Linked DNA regions of Macaca fascicularis. The protein of the gene in region 5 interacts with the protein of the main gene of each other region in a pairwise test. Links are inferred from orthologs where the notes say so. Each region holds a gene or a part of one and is shown on either strand. Other genes may lie near its edges. The genes, in order: DMC1, FBXO7, AURKB, ZNF366 and PSMA3.

Evidence for each region.
Region 1: the proteins of PSMA3 (region 5) and DMC1 interact in binary tests that used the Homo sapiens proteins (3 or more experiments, as listed by UniProt). The two-hybrid records come from large-scale screens. The link is inferred for Macaca fascicularis from reciprocal best matches to the Homo sapiens genes PSMA3 and DMC1.
Region 2: the proteins of PSMA3 (region 5) and FBXO7 interact in binary tests that used the Homo sapiens proteins (3 or more experiments, as listed by UniProt). The two-hybrid records come from large-scale screens. The link is inferred for Macaca fascicularis from reciprocal best matches to the Homo sapiens genes PSMA3 and FBXO7.
Region 3: the proteins of PSMA3 (region 5) and AURKB interact in a two-hybrid assay, tested with the Homo sapiens proteins (2 studies listed by BioGRID and IntAct). The link is inferred for Macaca fascicularis from reciprocal best matches to the Homo sapiens genes PSMA3 and AURKB.
Region 4: the proteins of PSMA3 (region 5) and ZNF366 interact in binary tests that used the Homo sapiens proteins (3 or more experiments, as listed by UniProt). The link is inferred for Macaca fascicularis from reciprocal best matches to the Homo sapiens genes PSMA3 and ZNF366.

What each region holds. Positions count from the first base shown.
Region 1 is NC_088384.1:13,125,918-13,129,434, reverse strand, and holds part of DMC1 (meiotic recombination protein DMC1/LIM15 homolog), read right to left. Parts: intron 1,806-3,517; coding exon 1,689-1,805; intron 1-1,688. UniProt on the Homo sapiens protein: Participates in meiotic recombination, specifically in homologous strand assimilation, which is required for the resolution of meiotic double-strand breaks.
Region 2 is NC_088384.1:19,139,336-19,142,852, forward strand, and holds part of FBXO7 (F-box only protein 7), read right to left. Parts: intron 3,135-3,517; coding exon 2,993-3,134; intron 452-2,992; coding exon 368-451; intron 1-367. UniProt on the Homo sapiens protein: Substrate recognition component of a SCF (SKP1-CUL1-F-box protein) E3 ubiquitin-protein ligase complex which mediates the ubiquitination and subsequent proteasomal degradation of target proteins and plays a role in several biological processes such as cell cycle, cell proliferation, or maintenance of chromosome stability.
Region 3 is NC_088390.1:8,284,849-8,288,203, forward strand, and holds the end of AURKB (aurora kinase B), read right to left. Parts: coding exon 3,354-3,355; intron 3,154-3,353; coding exon 2,959-3,153; intron 2,671-2,958; coding exon 2,532-2,670; coding exon of another isoform or gene 2,522-2,531; intron 2,422-2,521; coding exon 2,273-2,421; intron 1,161-2,272; coding exon 986-1,160; intron 815-985; coding exon 641-814; 3' UTR 505-640; downstream 1-504. UniProt on the Homo sapiens protein: Serine/threonine-protein kinase component of the chromosomal passenger complex (CPC), a complex that acts as a key regulator of mitosis.
Region 4 is NC_088380.1:76,382,516-76,386,032, forward strand, and holds part of ZNF366 (zinc finger protein 366), read right to left. Parts: intron 2,748-3,517; coding exon 2,212-2,747; 3' UTR 1-2,211. UniProt on the Homo sapiens protein: Has transcriptional repression activity. Acts as a corepressor of ESR1; the function seems to involve CTBP1 and histone deacetylases.
Region 5 is NC_088381.1:126,091,596-126,095,538, forward strand, and holds the start of PSMA3 (proteasome subunit alpha type-3), read left to right. Parts: upstream 1-1,142; 5' UTR 1,143-1,210; coding exon 1,211-1,231; intron 1,232-3,943. UniProt on the Homo sapiens protein: Component of the 20S core proteasome complex involved in the proteolytic degradation of most intracellular proteins. This complex plays numerous essential roles within the cell by associating with different regulatory particles.

The DNA.
Region 1 (3,517 bases), on a different chromosome or scaffold from region 5:
GCCAGGCGCGGTGGCTCATACCTGTAATCCCAGCACTTTGGGAGGCTGAGGCGGGCAGATCACGAGGTCAAGCGATCAAGACTATCCTGGCTAACACAGTGAAACCCCTTCTCTACTAAAAATACAAAAAAATTAGCTGGGCGTGGTGGTGGGTGCCTGTAGTCCCAGCTACTTGGGAGGCTGAGGCAGGAGAATGGCATGAACTGGGAGGCAGAGCTTGCAGTGAGCCGAGATCGCACCACTGCACTCCAGCCTGGGCGACAGAGCGAGACTCCATCTCCAAACAAACAAACAAAACAACAACAACAGCAACAACAACAAAAATGTAACATTTATGTATTATAATCTTTAACAGAGACAGATGGTGAAAAACAAAATGGTTGGAACAAAAACCATCTTAGATAGATGGGGGAACTGATTATTTAATATTTATTCAATAATAATACATAATAAGTACTATTGTGATTCATAGCAAACACCAGATTAAGAGCTCATCTGATCTTCAGGGAGCAGCTTTTCCCTCTCTAGGCTACCCTAGAGTTACTGCAAATCTTTGCTTTGTGGCTTGGGGTTGATCAGTCAGTCACAAATATGACACATCTACCATGTCCCAGGAACTGGGAATACACCGGTGAGGAAGCAAACCCTTAGGATTACTATCTAGAGGGGATGACATATGTTATACAAATCATTACCAATAAAATGAAAGTACGTTCCTTGAGGGCATGAACTAGTCTTTTTGTTTTGTTCACTGCTTTATCCCAAGAACCTAGAACAGTTAACATGTAGTAGTTTTTCTCTGTAAAAATTTATTAAATCTGTAATTCTTTATTTTTTTAAATTTTGTATTTTTTATTTTTTTAAGACAGAGTTTTGCTCTGTTGCCCAGGCTGGAGTGCAGTGCCACGATCTTGGCTCACTGCAACCTCCGCCTCCCGGGTTCAAGCAATTCTCCTGCCTCAGCCTACTGAGTAGTTGGGATTACAGGCGCCTGCCACCACGTCCGGCTAATTTTTGTAGTTTTAGTAGAGATGGTGTTCCACCGTGTTGGCCAGGCTGGTCTCAAACTCCTGGCCTCAGGTGATCCGCCCACCTTGGCCTCCCAAAGTACTAGGATTACAGGTGTGAGCCACTGTGCCGGGCCAAAATCTGTAATTCTTAATTAAACACATAAAGTGCTGAGAAAGAATATAGCATATAATATACTGAGTAACCTAGACTGTAAGGGTTAGGGAAAGGTTCCCCGAGAAAGTGATGTTTAAACTGAAACCTGAAAAACAAATGGAGTTAACTTGGCAAAAATACTTGATACTTACCTTGCACTTACTACACTTTAATTGGAATTGATGATTTCATTATCTAGGTGTATGCTTTGAAAGGTCAGGGAGCAAGTCAACGTGTCAACAGAATTCCTCAATCCCTAGTACCTAGCACACAGTAGGGACTTCCCAATAAATTGAATACTTTTTTTTATAAGGAAATTCAAATACACAGCATCTGCCAGTAATAATTATAGCCTTGCGGTGGCTCACACCTATAGTCACAACACTTTGGGTGGCCAAGGTGGGAGAACTGCTTGAGCCTAGGAGTTTGAGACCAGCTTGGGCAACATGGCAAAACCCCGTCTCTACACACACACACACACACACACACACACACACACACACAAAGAATAAAAAAAAAATTACCTATCATAAATCTTGGCAATTCTGAGCTCTCCTCTTCCCTTTCGCAAGCTTATTCTTGTTGTTGAAGCATGAGCCAGAATGTGTCCCCCAATGGGTTTTTTGGGATCTGCCTGAAAGCTGAATTAATAAAATACCTTTTCAGGTTTCATCATATGGACTATATATGGCAATATCTGCCATTACAAGGCAACCTTTCTGTGGTGGATGTCAGGAGTTGGAGTAAGTGTATATTCTAAACAAGCAGAGGCTTGTTCATAAACTAAGGAGTGGGGTGAGTTTTGGAGCTGCTATATACCTCATCTAGTCTAGGCTTCTGAGATTCCTATGATAGTTTATATTTTGTTTGACTTTTTCCTTTTTTTTTGAGATGGAGTCTAGCTCTGTCGCCCAGGCTGGAGTGCAGTGGTGTGCTCTCGCTCACTGCAACCTCTGCCTCCTGGGTTCAAGAAATTCTCCTGCCTCAGCCTCCCAGGTAGCTGGGATTACAGGCGCCCACCACCATGCCCAGCTAATTTTTTGCATTTTTAGTAGAGCCAAGGTTTCACTGTGTTGGCCAGGCTGGTCTTGAACTCCTGACCTCATGATCTGCCTGCCTCGGCCTCCCAAAGTGCTGGGGTTACAAGCGCAAGCCACCACGCCCAGCCTGACTTTTAAAAATGAGATTACTGGCCGGGTGAGGTGGCTCACGCCTGTAACCCCACCACTTTGGGAGGCCGAGGCGGGCGGATCACCTGAGGTTGGGAGTTCAAGATCAGCTTGACCAACATGGAGAAACCCTGTCTCTACCAAAAATACAAAATTAGCTGGGTGTGGTGGCACATGCCTGTAATCCCAGCTACTCAGGAGGCTGAGGCAGGAGAATCGCTTGAACCTGGGAGGTGGAGGTTGTGGTGAGCCGAGATGGCGCCATTGCATTCCAGCCTGGGTAACAAAAGCGAGACTCCGTCTCAAAAAATAAATAAATAAATAAATAAATAAATAATAAAGCACACTACATGGTAATTTTAAATGTATGGGTCTTATTCCCCAACTATACTCTAAATCTCTGTTCATCTTTGAAACTCCAGTGCCTGGAAAAGTGCCTATACTATACAGGGCACTCCATAAATATTGTGGAATAAATACAGAGATGACAATTTGGGACTCCCTAGTCTAGGTCCTTCTTGGACACAGATTTGTGTCATATCTTCAAAACTGCAATTCAGGGAACTTTTGAAGAGTGTTCTGACAGAGGCAAATATAAAAGAAGATAGATTCCCCCAGTTGAAGCACCATGCCTCCCATGCCATTATAGATAACCTAAACAAGACTGGGAAGCTAGAGCTTCTAGATGTGTAGTCATGATTTTTCTTCTTAGCAAACTATTGTTCGCTGTTACTAGTGTGGTACCCGATGTGCAAAAAAGAATAGAGACAATTGTTTGTCATTACTGTAGGTGAAGAGCCTGAATGTTAAGAACACTATTTCCAAAAGGAGATGATTTTGAATCACCCGAATGGGGAAATAAATTATAGCATTTGCAAAAGGGCAAAGAAAACATATAGGAATGAGGCTGGGCACAGTGGCTCACGCCTGTAATCCCAGCCCTTTGGGAGGCTGCGGCAGGTGGATCCCTTGAGCCCAGGAGTTCAAGACCAATCTGGACAACATGGTAAAACCCCATCTCTACAAAAAAATACAAAAATTAGCTGGGCAGGGTGGTGCGTGCCTGTAGTCCTGACTACTCAGGAGGCTGACGCAGGAAGATCTCTCGAGTCCAGGAAGTTGAGGCTGCGGTGAGTCGTGATTGTGCCACTGCACTCCAGTCACTCCAGCCTGGGTGACAGAGC
Region 2 (3,517 bases), on a different chromosome or scaffold from region 5:
GAATTACTTCCATGAAACACAGATCTCTATATTGGTTAAATATGATACCAGAGAGATCTCCAAAGATTAGTACAGAAACTATGAACTATCATCAGACTGTAATAAATTACATACTAGTGTTATCTCATAACAATATAATTCAGCACTCTATGACCCTAAGAAAAACAGGAAAGAAACAAACTCCTCAAATTATAAGCAAAACTTTCGCATTTTTTAAACCTTTGCATTCTTAAGCAAACCACATTATCTTACATATGCTTTAATCTCACATAGAAATTTTCTGTCTTTTGAACATTATCTTTCAGATTTTTTTCTTACACGAATTTCACAGAGTTTCACTCCAAAAGTTAAATAATGTTTATATTACCTAGTTTCTCTTTGCAAATAAAAGATTCTGGTAGCAGCTGCAATCTTTTCACACTTCTAATCTCATTGTTGATTTTCAGTGTAGCTGTAAATAAACATAAGAAAGATGATAAAAAATTCTGTCACTTCATCAACTGCCTTTCTTTTTTAGTATGGGCTTGCATTTCCTTGCTCCTAATATACTAAGGACACATTATATAAAACAAACTGTTCTTCGCCTATTTCTTTCTCTGACAGCAAGTTCAAAAGTGTAAACCTGGCATCACATGAAGTAAAATCACTCTACAACACCACCTTTAAAAACTACAGTAAGCATCTTTATATAAAATCTACTAGGCAGCAGCTTATTAGTAATTGAAAGATACACAACAAGGCTAATCAGAGGCAACTAAACACAATAAAATCATTATTTCTAATGAAGTCACTAAAAACTCCATTTATCTTTTATTTAACCCTTGGCAATGAGTCTTCCCTTGTTCATTAAAATAATCTTGCTAGTTTTCAGAGCATCATCTCTCTTCCAGACCCAAAGGACCAATATTCTTGACATCACCAGAGGGTTCAATTTTAATCATGTATACAAAGGCGCACTTCAACTCATTCCATGAAAGAGCCCAGTGATGTGCTTATGCACATGTGCACCAAGCAGGATGCCTGGAGTGAAGGAAAGATTTAAAGACACACTGCTCTTTTCAAATAATCAATCCTGGAATGGCTGGCTGCCATGCAAGTCTGCCAAGAGCTGATTTGCCAAGAACAGTAAAGAAACAAAGTATGAGAAATTAAGAAATCATCAAGACATTCAGTAGTTATTCTTTTTATATTAAGTATTCTGAATCTAATGAATAGAGGTTATTATACATGTCATTAAGTGCTTTTATAAGAAATCAAGGCAAAATTTGCAACTACACATTTACTATTTGGTAACTTCAACCTTGCAAGTTATGATGTGATGTAGCAGAATGATGAGAGGAAGGCAGAAACTGTTGACACTCTGTGTACAAGAATGCCAGACTAAAAGCTACATTTGCTAATTATGATGAACTGCTGAATAGACATTGCTAGGTCCTAGTGTCATCAGACAGTCATGTCCTGACAAACGTGAAGTACCACCAAAGCTATTAAAACCTAACGTTTTGAGACTTTTAAATAACATTTCAAAGAATCTTATGACTAAAGAAATAGAAATTTCTTAAGAGGCCAGGCGTGGTTCACACCTGTAATCCCAGCCCTTTGGGAGGTCAAGGCAGGAATACTGCTTGAACCCAGGAGTTCGAGACCAGGCTGGGCAACACAGTGAGACTTCATCTCTACAGAATATAAATAAAAAATAGCCAGGTGTGGTGGTACACGCCTGTGGTCCTAGCTACTCAGGAGGCCAAGGAGGAACACCGCTTGAGCCCAGGAGGTCAAGGATGCAATGATCCATGCTCTGGCTACTGCACTCCAGCCTAGGTGACAGAGCAAGACCTTGTCTCAAAAAAAAAAAAAAGAAAAAGAAAAAGAAACTTCGTAAGAGGGGAATGAGAACTATCCAACATCTCAAAGATCAAGACAGCATAAGTCAGTAGCTTTCAAAATAGATTTTAGCAGGAAAAAAAAACCACCACCATTTTTTTCAAACAGAATCTCACACAAAACTTCAATAAATGAAACAGATAAACATTTTGCTGCTTTTAAGTGGTGATAAGGCTTCTACCTAACTTTCATCTAGGCAAAGGAGCAGCTGCAGAACATACTGAAAACCTGACCTAAACCTTTGACCTAAGGCTTACCAAAGCAACTTCCTTTGCTAAACAAAAAAGATGAGCTATACTGAATAAACAAAACAACAAATGCAGCCCTCCCAATCTTGCCACACTATCTTTCTAACTAAAAGGATAAACCTCAAAAAACAAAACAGAATAAAAATGAAAGCTCCTAGTCATTCAAATGGATCTCCAGGATGTGTGATTATGATAGACTACTAGGAGTTGATATGAACCAAAGTGGTATCTGAACTAAAACACAAAGATGGAATGCCTTGCTATTCCAGTGAAATTTATTAATATGAAAAAGGAGACAGGAAAAGTTATTTATGCAGAGTGACATTTGTTGGGGGAGGCCCAGTAAATAAAACACACACTTACTAAGGCCTCAGTAAACTTAGCATTGTTGTTGTGCACTGCTGGCCACAGAGATGCGAACTTGGATAAATGGTGACCCCAGCTCTAGTTCCCCATGTCTCAGTTCAAGACCTTCGTTAAAAAAATAAAGCCATCCACAGGGATAAAGAAAAAGTATTCTCCAAAGAGTTCATGTATAATAGGCTCATTTCACTCATATTATCAAATATTGATAATATTGGATAATATTAAATATTACCCCCCAGAGCAAAATATTACAAAGATTAAGACATCAAGAAAATGGATGCCCTAAGAGTGAAGGGTGCTGGCCTAAACAACCCAACAACCTCTTACTCTATAATCTTCCAGACACATGTTATCAGTGGTCTAGGAATTCAATAAAGTTGAGAAGGACTCACAACTGTATCATGATAGCCAATCACTGAAGTGGCTATAAAACATTTGGAAAGAAACGTCTAAGAATCCATAAACGAGCAACCATGACTATGCTATTCAATTACCATTTACAACAATCAGGTTTCCCAGAGGCACACAGGTGAGAGTAGCGGAGCTGCCCTCACAGAGAGGATGCATGTACTGCAGCTTATACACCCCGCTCAACTTCCACTTCTCCGGCATGGACAGTGCTTTGGCTTCGGTGCCCTGGGGAACGAAATGAAAGGGAAACAAATAATGAAGAAAGGTGTTACTCTCAAAAAGATTAAAAATCCAAAAGACTCCTAACTTGTTTGAAATAATCATTCCACATAGTCCTCTTAATACAATGCATCATTAATATTGCCATTATATTTTATATTGTAGGATAATATATTACAACACTTTTAATCAAAATTTTTGTTCAAACAGGTAAAATTGCAATATGGAAACAGGGATTGATCTCTCTCTTCCAAGACTCACTTCTCTGCCTAGCAAAACCATATGATTATTTAAAACTCCAAAATAATCAAATATCACTTCCTCTGTAAAGCCTTTTTCAAAGAAAAATTTTTTGCCATTTCCTTTCGTCCCCTAACAGTCTATTCATA
Region 3 (3,355 bases), on a different chromosome or scaffold from region 5:
ATGACAGTGAAACCTTGTGTCAGGAACAAGACAGAATCACTACTGCTTCTATTGGCTCCTGTACTAGATCCTGACCAGAGCAGTAAAAGAATCAAAGACAGTTTCTAGGGTACAGAATTGTTCAGCTGCTCCTACGCTGGCAAAGGGGCAGAGAATGAAACAGAAAAGGAAAAACTAGAAGTTGGACAACCAAGAGAGAGGTGAAAGAAGGTGGCCAGAGATGGCTGGTGTTCCAATGTAGCAATGGGGAGCCAGGGCCCCCAGTGCCCCCGGGCTCTGGGAGTCAGAACAATGGAAAGAACAGACAGGGTAGAGGTGAAAGTGGGGGTAGGGGTGGGGGTGGCTGGGAGCTGACCAGGTGGGTGTCAGAGCTGAGAGGGTAGGGTGTTACCAGGGATAGCAAAGCAATGCTCATCCCAGCTCCTCAGGGTGAGCCACCTCTCCTTCTAGGGAACAGCTTCCTCCACAGCAAAGCCTCCACCTAGAAACATCTACACTCATCAGTACAAAAAGCTTCAGCCTTTATTAAACAAAGGAGGAGGTAGAAGACAGATAAGGGAACAGTTCAGGATCCCTTCTTTCCCCTATACATACACAAACATACAAAACACAGACACACCCCAGTGAATGACAGGGACCATCAGGCAACAGATTGAAGGGCAGAGGGAGGCAGCACCCTCCGAGAGTTGGCCCGGACCCAGGGGTGGGCTGAGACCTGGGCCAGGGGCAGCCGTTCCGAGGGGTTATGCCTGAGCAGTTTAGAGATGAGGTCCTGGGCTCCCGTGGGCACAGAAGCGGGGAACTTTAGGTCCACCTGCAGGTGTGAAGAGATGGAAGGGCTGCATTACTTTCACCCTGGCTACATCTTCCTTGACTACCCATTCTGTCTGGAGTTACTTAGGGCCACGCGGATACACTCTGCCCACCCCCAGCCCCCCAGCCCCTGGCCTCTGCAGCTGGCACGAAGCCCAGGCCGCCCTCCCACCTTGACGATGCGCCGATAGGTCTCGTTGTGTGATGCGCTCTCAAATGGTGGGTTTCCCACCAGCAACTCATAGCAAAGCACTCCAATGCACCACAGATCCACCTTCTCGTTGTGTGTGCGCCCCTCAATCATCTCTGGGGGCAGGTAGTCCAGGGTGCCACACATTGTCTTCCTCCTGGGAGGGATAAGGGGCGTGGGCAGGGGTCCCAGTGACATAGGAACTCTCCTTTCCCTGCTACCTGATGGCAGGGAGCCAAAAGACCACGGGAGGTACCAGGGGAGAGGTCCAGCCAGGCAGGGTTACTGGAGTGGGGGTGGGGTTGGGGTGATGACATATCTGAAAGCCCCAGAGGTAAGCCTGCACACAGCCCCAGCAACTCCACGCTGAAGGATATGTCTTAATGAGATACTCCGCTATGAGGGCAGTGTTCATTTGGAGTTCATTTTGGAGTTCACTGGGGACATCTCTAATGCCCATCAGGCATGTTCTGCTTAAATAAATCAGCTACTATGTGATACTATGAAACCGTTAAAAAATGATGTGGGAGGAAAAAAGGCCACTGCTCCGGGCTTTTTTGAGACAGAGTCCAGGCTGGAGTGCAAGGGGGCGATCTTGGCTCACTGCAACCTTTGCCTCCCGGATTCAAGTGATTCTCGTGTCTCAGCCTCCCGCACAGCTGGGATTGCAAGTGTGCACCTCCATGTCTGCTTAATACATTTTGTATTTTTAGTAACGATGGGGTTTCGCCATGTTGGCCAGGCTAGTCCGCTAGCCTTGAACTCCTGGCCTCAAGTGATCCACCTGCCTTGGCCTCCCAAAGTGCTGGGATTAGCAGGCGTGAGCCACCGCACCTGGCTAAAGTTTTACCATTGGCTCATACGGGGATCAAACCCATGACCTTGGGGTTCTTAGCACCACATTCTAACCATTTTGTTTGTTTTTTTTTAGAGGAGTCTCACTCTGCCGTCCAGGCTGGAGTGCAATGGCGCAATCTTGGCTCACTGCAACCTCCGCCTCCCAGGTTCAAACAATTCTCCCGCCTCAGCCTCCCGAGTAGCTGGGATTACTGGTGTCCGCCACCATGCCCGGCTAATTTTTGTATATTTAGTAGAGACAAGGTTTCAGCATGTTGGCAAAGCTAGTTTCGAACTCCTGACCTCAGGTGATCCGCCCGCCTCAGCCTCCCAAAGTGCGGGTATTACAGGCGTGAGCCAGCACGCCCAGCCCCTGGAGAGGTTTTAATGGCCCCGCCTCACACCCAGGGCTGGCCTCCCAGGCCACCATACCTCAGGGAGGGCGCATGCACAGACCAGCCAAAGTCAGCAATCTTCAGCTCTCCCTTGAGCCCTAAGAGCAGATTCTCTGGCTTTATGTCTCTGTGAATCACCTTCTTCCCGTGGCAGTACATCAGAGCATCTGCCAACTCCTCCATGATCTGGGAGGGGCAACGACAGGCAATCAGACAAGGATGGACCTCCAGCTACAAGCAGCACACCCTCAGCCTCCAGCCCCCTACTGGCGGCCCAGGTGCCCACCCGCCCGGACCGTGGCTGTTCGCTGCTCGTCAAATGTGCGGCTCTTCTGCAGCTCCTTGTAGAGCTCCCCGCGGGGCGCATACTCTAGAATCAAGTAGATCCTCCTCCGGTCGTAAAAATAGTTGTAAAGACGCAGGATGTTGGGATGGCTGAGGGAAGAGACAGAGGAAGCCTCAGGCCAAAGGCATAAAAGAGCTGGGAAAGATAATAGGAGCAAACTGGGGTCAGACGGGGCCCAGGCTGGGGACACCAGGAATGGGAGTGGGAAGGGGAAACTGGAGGCAGATTTCTGGATTCAAGGCTCTGGCCAGGACTAAGGGCTAAATGGGGCTCACTAGCCGTAGCTACAGAGAACGCAATCTGGATGAGGTAGGGCTGAGTGAGGAGCTGGGGTGAGGGAGCAGAGGGGCTTCGGCTCAGGGGGCATCAACCCATACTGCAGGTGGGCCTGGATTTCGATCTCTCTGCGCAGCTGATGCTCCACGCCCTCCTTCTCTATCTGGGACTTGAAGAGGACCTTGAGCGCCACGATGAAATGGCTTTTCTTCTCCCGAGCCAAGTACACGTTTCCAAACTTGCCTTTGCCCAGAGGACGCCCAATCTCAAAGTCATCAATTGTGAAGTGCCGCCTGCTTAGAAAGTGGGGGAAGGCAACTCAGAACCGGTTTTGGTTATTAAGAGGTTTGCTTTCTCTCCGCTTCCTCATCTCATCCTGTCCCCCGCCCCACTTCTCTTCATCTCTACTCCTCCTGCCCTTAGGTTTTATCTTCCCGACTTCCTGCCCATTCACTGTCCCCTCACCTCCCTCCACCCCAAGGCTTGGGGCACTTACAT
Region 4 (3,517 bases), on a different chromosome or scaffold from region 5:
CCTCAGGACACAGTACTCTTAGCACTTCATGGTGGTGGGGAGTCTGACAGGAGAAGCTTTAGGCAAGATGGCAGGGGAAATGGGTCAGAGATGGACACAACACACAGGTGAGTGATGACAACCAGGTGGGGCTAATGAAGCAAACCTTGGCCTACAGAAAAGGCCAGCCTCCAACAGTTGGAGATGGACATGTCTTCTAAAGGAATGTATTGGGAAGTCTGGGATAGGATGAAGCACAATAATAACCAGTACCTAGCTCTACAAATAAGAGTCAAAACTACCAAACAAGAGGTTTTTACATAAACAGACACAGTACCAGAGGGTTATTGCTATGGGCAGTCACACGTACATGACACCCGGTCAGTATTGCTTTTCTCAGTGCCAGTGCCTAAGTAAGGCCGACCTGCTGGGCCCATCCCACCCAGTAGAGTCATTTCCACTCACTGGCATCATGGTTCAAGAGTCTGGGAAGAGATAATGGGTCACCATAGGCCAGCCATGCATTTTTCAACATAGTAAGTGACCATAAACATCACAGGCATCATCTTCTAGTATAATGTCAAAAGTGTGTGCCTATATAGAGAGAGTGTGTGTCCACTCATATGGCTCTTACAGACAGGTAAGAAGGCCTAAGTCAGCAGTATGATTGTGAGGTCTCCTGTTCTCAACCTTAAAGAGTCTGAGGCTAGGAACAGAAATACTTATGAAGTCTCTGGGAAGTGTCCTGGAAGCCACAGAAATGGTGAGTTCTATTTTAGTCCCCTCAATCTTCTCAATCTCGGAAATTGCACATAAGAATTGCCTGGAGCAATCTGGAAAATTCCAGTCCTGGGGCTCCACTCCAGATCAATTAAATCAGAATCTTAATGGGTGAGGCCTTGGTTTGGTGTCTTTTTTTCAAAGGTCACCCCAGATGATTCCAATGTACAGCCAGCACTGAGAACATAGTCCAGAGTTTTCTTTACTTATGATTAGCTGTCAACTATTCTAGTAACCCAAATAAGTCAGAGGTTAGATTTCTGGGAGAATTCTCTGAGGTCACCCCCCAGCTCTAGCTCTGAGGAGAAACCCCCTGGTCACTGGTGACAACTCTTCCTGCATCTGTCCTTTTTTTTTTTTTTTTTTTTTTTTTTTTTTGAGGCAGAGACTCACTCTGTCACCCAGGCTGTAGTGCGGTGGCATGATCTCAGCTCACTGCAACCTCCACCTCCTGGGTTCAAGCGATTCTCCTGCCTCAACCTCCTGAGTAGCTGGAACTACAGGCATCCGCCATCACGCCTGACTAAATTTTGTATTTTTAGTAGAGATGGGGTTTCACCACGTTGGCCAGGTTGGTCTCAAACTCCTGACCTCAAGTGATCTGCCTGCCTCGGCCTCCCAAAGTGCTGGGATTACAGGCGTGAGCCACTGCGCCCGGCCCCTGCCTCTGTCTTATGCGGCATGAGGCCTCAGAGCAAGACAGCAATGGTCTCCAGGAGGGAGCTCTGCTTCAGAAGTGGGGGTTTGTCTGAGGAACCAGGACCCTGAACATCATCAGATCATCTGAAAAAAAAATGCTCCAAATGCTCAATCTGATGAAGACAGCCAACATAGAACAAGAAAATCTAAGTATTCTAGGTCACCAGTTTCCCTTAGTCAAAATTATTCTTCTCCTGAAATTTTACCTTATATCTGCAGCAACTACTCGAGAGCATTCTCTTCAGCATTTCATCCTCCTGTGCCATTTCTGACATGTTTGGTTATAGAATAAAGGCTATTTTAATATATACAACTACTAATATTTTCATCTATCTGGAAAATATTATAACCTTCACGGATTCACCTAGTTATTAATAAGGTGACACCTCAAGCACCATATTTTTGCAATTAGAAATTTACCATGTATTGCATATAAATCAGAGGAAAGTAGAATTTCTAAAAGCACCTCAGCATCAGCTTACGATTAGATATCTAGAAGAATACTCACAGTTTATTATACTGGCGATGCATCAAACGCCACTGAAGAAGACCCTGCACATGTGTGAAGGGTATCAAGGGCCCCGTGAATGACCTGAGAAGGCTTTCCATTACCTACATCCCTGCTTATTTAGTCTAAGCCATTTGTAGAGATTGGTACTATTTGCCAGTCTCCAGAAAATGACAGTTCATGCAGAAAGCTATATTTGAACTGCCTCGTTCTCATTTTCCAAATGTAATTTTAAAACTGTCCACTTAGATACCTAAAAGCACTGCTTGTTTTTCCATTTTCCTCTCCAGTAATTCTTTCAAACTCTCATCTCTGTGCTTGAAGTATAAGTAATCAGAAAAAGAGGGACCCCGCCGGGTACTCTGAAAAGCCCTGAGGCTGAGACACTCATCTCTGCCTGCATAGTCTCTCTCCTGGCCACCCTCTGCCCCAAGGTCGCCCTTGCTGCTCTCCTCCCATTCTTCCTTGGATGCATCCTCCTTCTCCTCCTTGCAGGTTTCCTCCAGCACCTCCGGTGCATGCTCCGGCTTGGTGGACAGATCCTCGGGTGTGCAGAGCTGCTGGCTCTGGGGTGCCAGGCCAGGGCTGTAGGGTTCCACCTCGTAGCAGTTATCCTCCTCTTCCTCCTCATGGCAGTGGCTGCCCTGGGCACTCTCCCCGTCTGACTGGAACATGGGCACCTTGGCCCGGTGCTTCTGAGAGAGGTCAAAGGGCTCCTCCTGCTCCAGACTCCTCAGGACACCGGCTGTCTGTGCCAGGGCGATTCTCCCCCTTCCCAGACCTACAAGAGCAGAGTAAGAATTCATGCACCTGAGGAAATGCTGGGGCAACGGAACCTTGAGGAAGGGGAGCAGCCCAGGGCCGTTTAATGTATTCTGATTGCGTATTTTACAAATAGATCATTCCCAGTAAGGATGTGGTCATGGGAGGCTTGTCACAGGCAGTGTCCACATTGGTTTAATCCCTTTAAGGTGAATTTGGCAACATCCACCGAAAGCTTTAAAAATAAGCTTTGACTTAGCAATTATACTACTGAGAATTTAAACTGAAAAAATAGGCAGGCAGGTGCACAAAACACGTGTATGGATGCATATCACCATATTTTTTATCACAGTCAAACTGTGAAAAATTTTTGTATTTAATAATAGAGGTTTGGTTAAATAAATAATGATATATCCATATAGTGAACCATGCATAGGTGATGTGGAGACCTACTAATGATCACGAAAAGATATTTGCTATGTATTTTAAGTAAAAACAAAATATATATGTAAGTTTGTGTGTGTGTGTTTATTTATAGTGCAGACCTGATTTTATCTAGCTAGCCATCTCTATCAAAAAATGCCTTGAAGAAGTATGTCAAAATCTTAAAATTAACAAACATTCTCTTTTCACTTTTAATGTACTATTGTTTTATTTTTTACCATGAGCATACGTTTTATCATAAAAAAAGTAAATCAATAATAAAGGCATTTTCATCTTGAACAAAACAAAGATATCCCATTTGGGGCAGCAGACACCACGCCAGGACTGTGGCCCCTATGCCAACAG
Region 5 (3,943 bases):
TTGGATTTTCTTTAGCTATGAAGGACTTTATAGGGAAAATTACCCCCCAAAAAAAAGAAAGTTGATAGATCACAGTATTGCTAGTTTTCTAATTTTCACAATAATACTGTGTCTATGTAAAATAATGTTCCTGTGTTGGGGGGGAAATACACACTGACGTATTAATATTTAGGAGTAAAAAAAGGCTGATGCCCTATTTACAATCGGATTAAAATTCAAACCACTTCAAGATTTGCTGTCATGTGCACTTGTTCTCTTCCTGTCACTCTTCCCCACTTAATGAGGGGTCACTCTGACGTGACAGTTCCTAGCGCAAGCCAAGTTTTTTACTGTTCCCTCAACCACTCTTTTGTTATCCTATTTTAAATATCACTCACTTAGAAAGTCATTCCCTGAGCACACTGCCTAAAGTTAGTATCTCCATTCTCTATTAAAGCACTCTTCCTTCTTACTATTTTGCTTATTTATCGTTATCTATTTCTTCCTACTGAATGTAAATTCCATTAGAAACGGTGGTATGTTCTGTTTACAGCTTTTTCTTCAACACGTGGAATACATTAGCGCTCAATAAATATCTTTAATCAGACATATCTTTAACTCTACCAAAAAGCGTTATACTCATAGAAAGAGTACTAATACTTGTGTAAAATTCCAAGCTGAATTCAAAGACGATACCCTTGAAGCGAAACTTCCCGAGAGCCTGGCATAAGAAGGTGAGGTGGATGCCATCAAGATTCTAGGTCAGGATGGGGACGCGGAGGAAGACAGGTTACTTCGCCCCTACTGCTTTTTCTATTCTTTGTGAGTATACGAGCATCTCTCCCTTTTGCTTAAAGACAGAATACAGTGACGAGGAGGGAATAATAATATAAAAAGATAAATAATAATTCCTAGGAAAGGAATAGAGCAGCTTCTCAGATTAAACGACGCCAAAAACTCAAAGTACGTGAACTAAAGGCGGAGCCTTTGCTTTCCCCAACCCCGCCTCTATTGCTTCTGAACATGCGCGCCGCCAGCCTCTAGCGTCCCGCTTCTTTCCCACAATACTCCTGGTCCTGGGGGCCGGAGCCGCGGAACGAGCCACAGAGAAAAAGGTTATTGGTTGGCGATGCAGCCAATGAGCGGGTCTGTTACTAGTTTGCGGCATCCTGTGGTGTAGGGGCAGCGCTCTAGGCCTGGAATCCTTACGCGTCCCGTTGGGTTTAGCACGATGAGCTCCATCGGCACCGGGGTGAGTTTGCTGTCTCTGGGTGTGATAGTTTAACCTAAGGCTTGGGGTTGAAGGGAACTGGGACAGACCACAAGGGTTTCGCGGACCTGGGGTGCTCTAAGACCGCCTTCGGCTGGGTGGGCCACTTGCAGCTGTTTGGAGACCGGTCGTCTTTATCCCCTATATGCTAGGCCTGCGTCTCAGGTGACCATGACTCCTGAAGCTTTTCAGCCCAGGTGTAGCCGGCTTGGCGTCGCCGCGGTGAGGTTTGGAGCAGCTTTGGATTGCTGAGTCACTTTCTTCAGCCACTTAGGGAAACCGAAAGTGGAAACTCGTGGGGCTTGAAATAGTGTGTTCTCTTGAGAACCACCGAGGCAGTGAGATTTGAGATTCCACGGTCCGGAGATCGTGCTTTCTGTGGACTGCGTTTGCAGTTCCCAGGTTGCTGCTGATTCACGGGCCTTCTCTGTCTTTAAGTGTGCAGATCATCGACCGCTCAGTTTAAGAGTCACTGGAAACCCTGTCGGAACAGAACTAATAAAAATGATCTGAATAACTAAATCTGATGAATCCTTCAGTTTTTCCTTTGTCCTTGTTTTTCCTATACAAAGTACCTAACAGCACTTGTAGGCATTTATCCCGTAAACGTTTAAGTGGTTACTTAGGAACTTAACAGCTTCAGACTTTTGATAGACTGTTGAGGATTTTGCAGTGGGACTTGTTAACTTGTTTGGTTTTCCTTTGTTAAACGTATGTATATGTGCAGTTTACTCCTTTTATGTACTCTATATAGAAAATACAGTTTCTACAAGATTTATTGGTTATTTGCACTAGAGTTACTGAATAATGAGTTTCTCAGTTCCTCAATTTCTACTTAACAAGATTCTCATGCTCAGCCTTAAGTTCAAGTACTGGTGTTCTAAATTTGATAATAGGCAATTTATGTCTGGAATGGTTTAATCCATTCGGTTATGAATGCTAAAGTTCTGCCATACTTTTCTTAGATAAGTAAATGCTCAATAATAAATCTTGTAGCAAACTGACTTTGCAATTATATTATTACCTTCAATTAATAGTATTTCATTCTACAAACCTTTTAAAGAATACTTGATAATATAACCATGTGGGATATTTTAGTAACAATGGTAGGGTTAATGATCTGGGTTTAACAGATCAGGAGGCCGGGCGCGGTGGCTCAAGCCTGTAATCCCAGCACTTTGGGAGGCCGAGACGGGTGGATCACGAGGTCAGGAGATCGAGACCATCCTGGCTAACACGGTGAAACCCCGTCTCTACTAAAAAAATACAAAAAACTAGCCGGGCGAGGTGGTGGGCGCCTGTAGTCCCAGCTACTCGGGAGGCTGAGGCAGGAGAATGGCGTGAACCCGGGAGGCGGAGCTTGCAGTGAGCTGAGATCCGGCCACTGCACTCCAGCCTGGGCGACAGAGCGAGACTCCGAATCAAAAAAAAAAAAAAAAAAAAACAGATCAGGAAACAGACTCAGAAAGTACCACTGTTGAAGGCTTATCTTCTGTGTTCATTTCTCCCAAGAACTCCAGATATGAATAATTGTTTGTCTGCTTGACACGTCTGTCCACTTGATTGTTTATTTTGTACTGCATGTCAAAGTAGAGCTCTGGGTTTTCTCCTTACCTTGCCATTTTGCATCTACTACAGTCTTCAGCTCAGTGAATGGTCATATGAAAACATCTGTGATTCATCTTTAATTCCTTTTTTTACTTCCAGAACCAACGCTTTAGCAAGTTTTTTTTTTATTTTTTGAGATGGAGTCTTGCTCTGTCGCCAGGCTGGAGTGCAGTGGCACGATCTTGGCTCACTGCAACCTCCGCTTCCCAGTTCAAGCAATTCTCCTGTCTCAGCCTTCCGAGTAGCTGGGACTACAGGTGCACACCACCACGCCCAGCTAATTTTTGTATTTTTAGTAGAGACGAGGTTTCACCATGTTTGCCAGGATGGGCTCGATCTTTTGACCTCGTGATCAGCCTGCCTCGACCTGCCAAAGTGCTGGGATTACAGGAATGAGCCATCATGCCCGGCCTCGCAAGTTTATTTTTATTATTTTTATTTTTTTACTATACTCTGAAAAAGTATTCCCTTCTACCTCTTCTCTTGTCTAAGCTAGTACCACGATCTTTGGAACACCTCATCTTTGCTTCTGTTGTTCTCTCTAGAATTCATTTTCCACATAAAGCCAGAATGATGTTTTTTAAAATGTAGATCATACCACTCCCCCTGCTTAAATTCCTCGTTGCATTTAGAATAAAATACAAAGTCCTTATTGCAGCCTGGAAGACCCAACATAATTTGACCCACAGCTACCTCACTAACACAGTCTACTCTTCTTTCTGCTGCTTACAGTGCTCGGGACACAGTGACCTTACTTCTGTTTCTTGACTGTGCTAGCCTTATTTCTACCCTAAGATCTTTGTGCCAAATGCCAAGAAGGCTTTTCCTTCATATCTTAAATGGCTAGCTTCTTGTCATTTAGGTTTGACTCAGCCTAAATATTACTGCCCCAGAAGGCCTTCCCTGATGATGTAGTCTGTAGTAGTTCCTTCCATTGCTTTACTCTTTTATTTTCATCTTAGTGCCTTTTCTGATTTACTGCTGTATCTCTAGCACCTAGATTCATGTCTGATTTGAAATTGAAGGACTTAATGAATGAGTGATCACCTTTGTATTCCATGTAGTGGACTAACATAATAGATACTC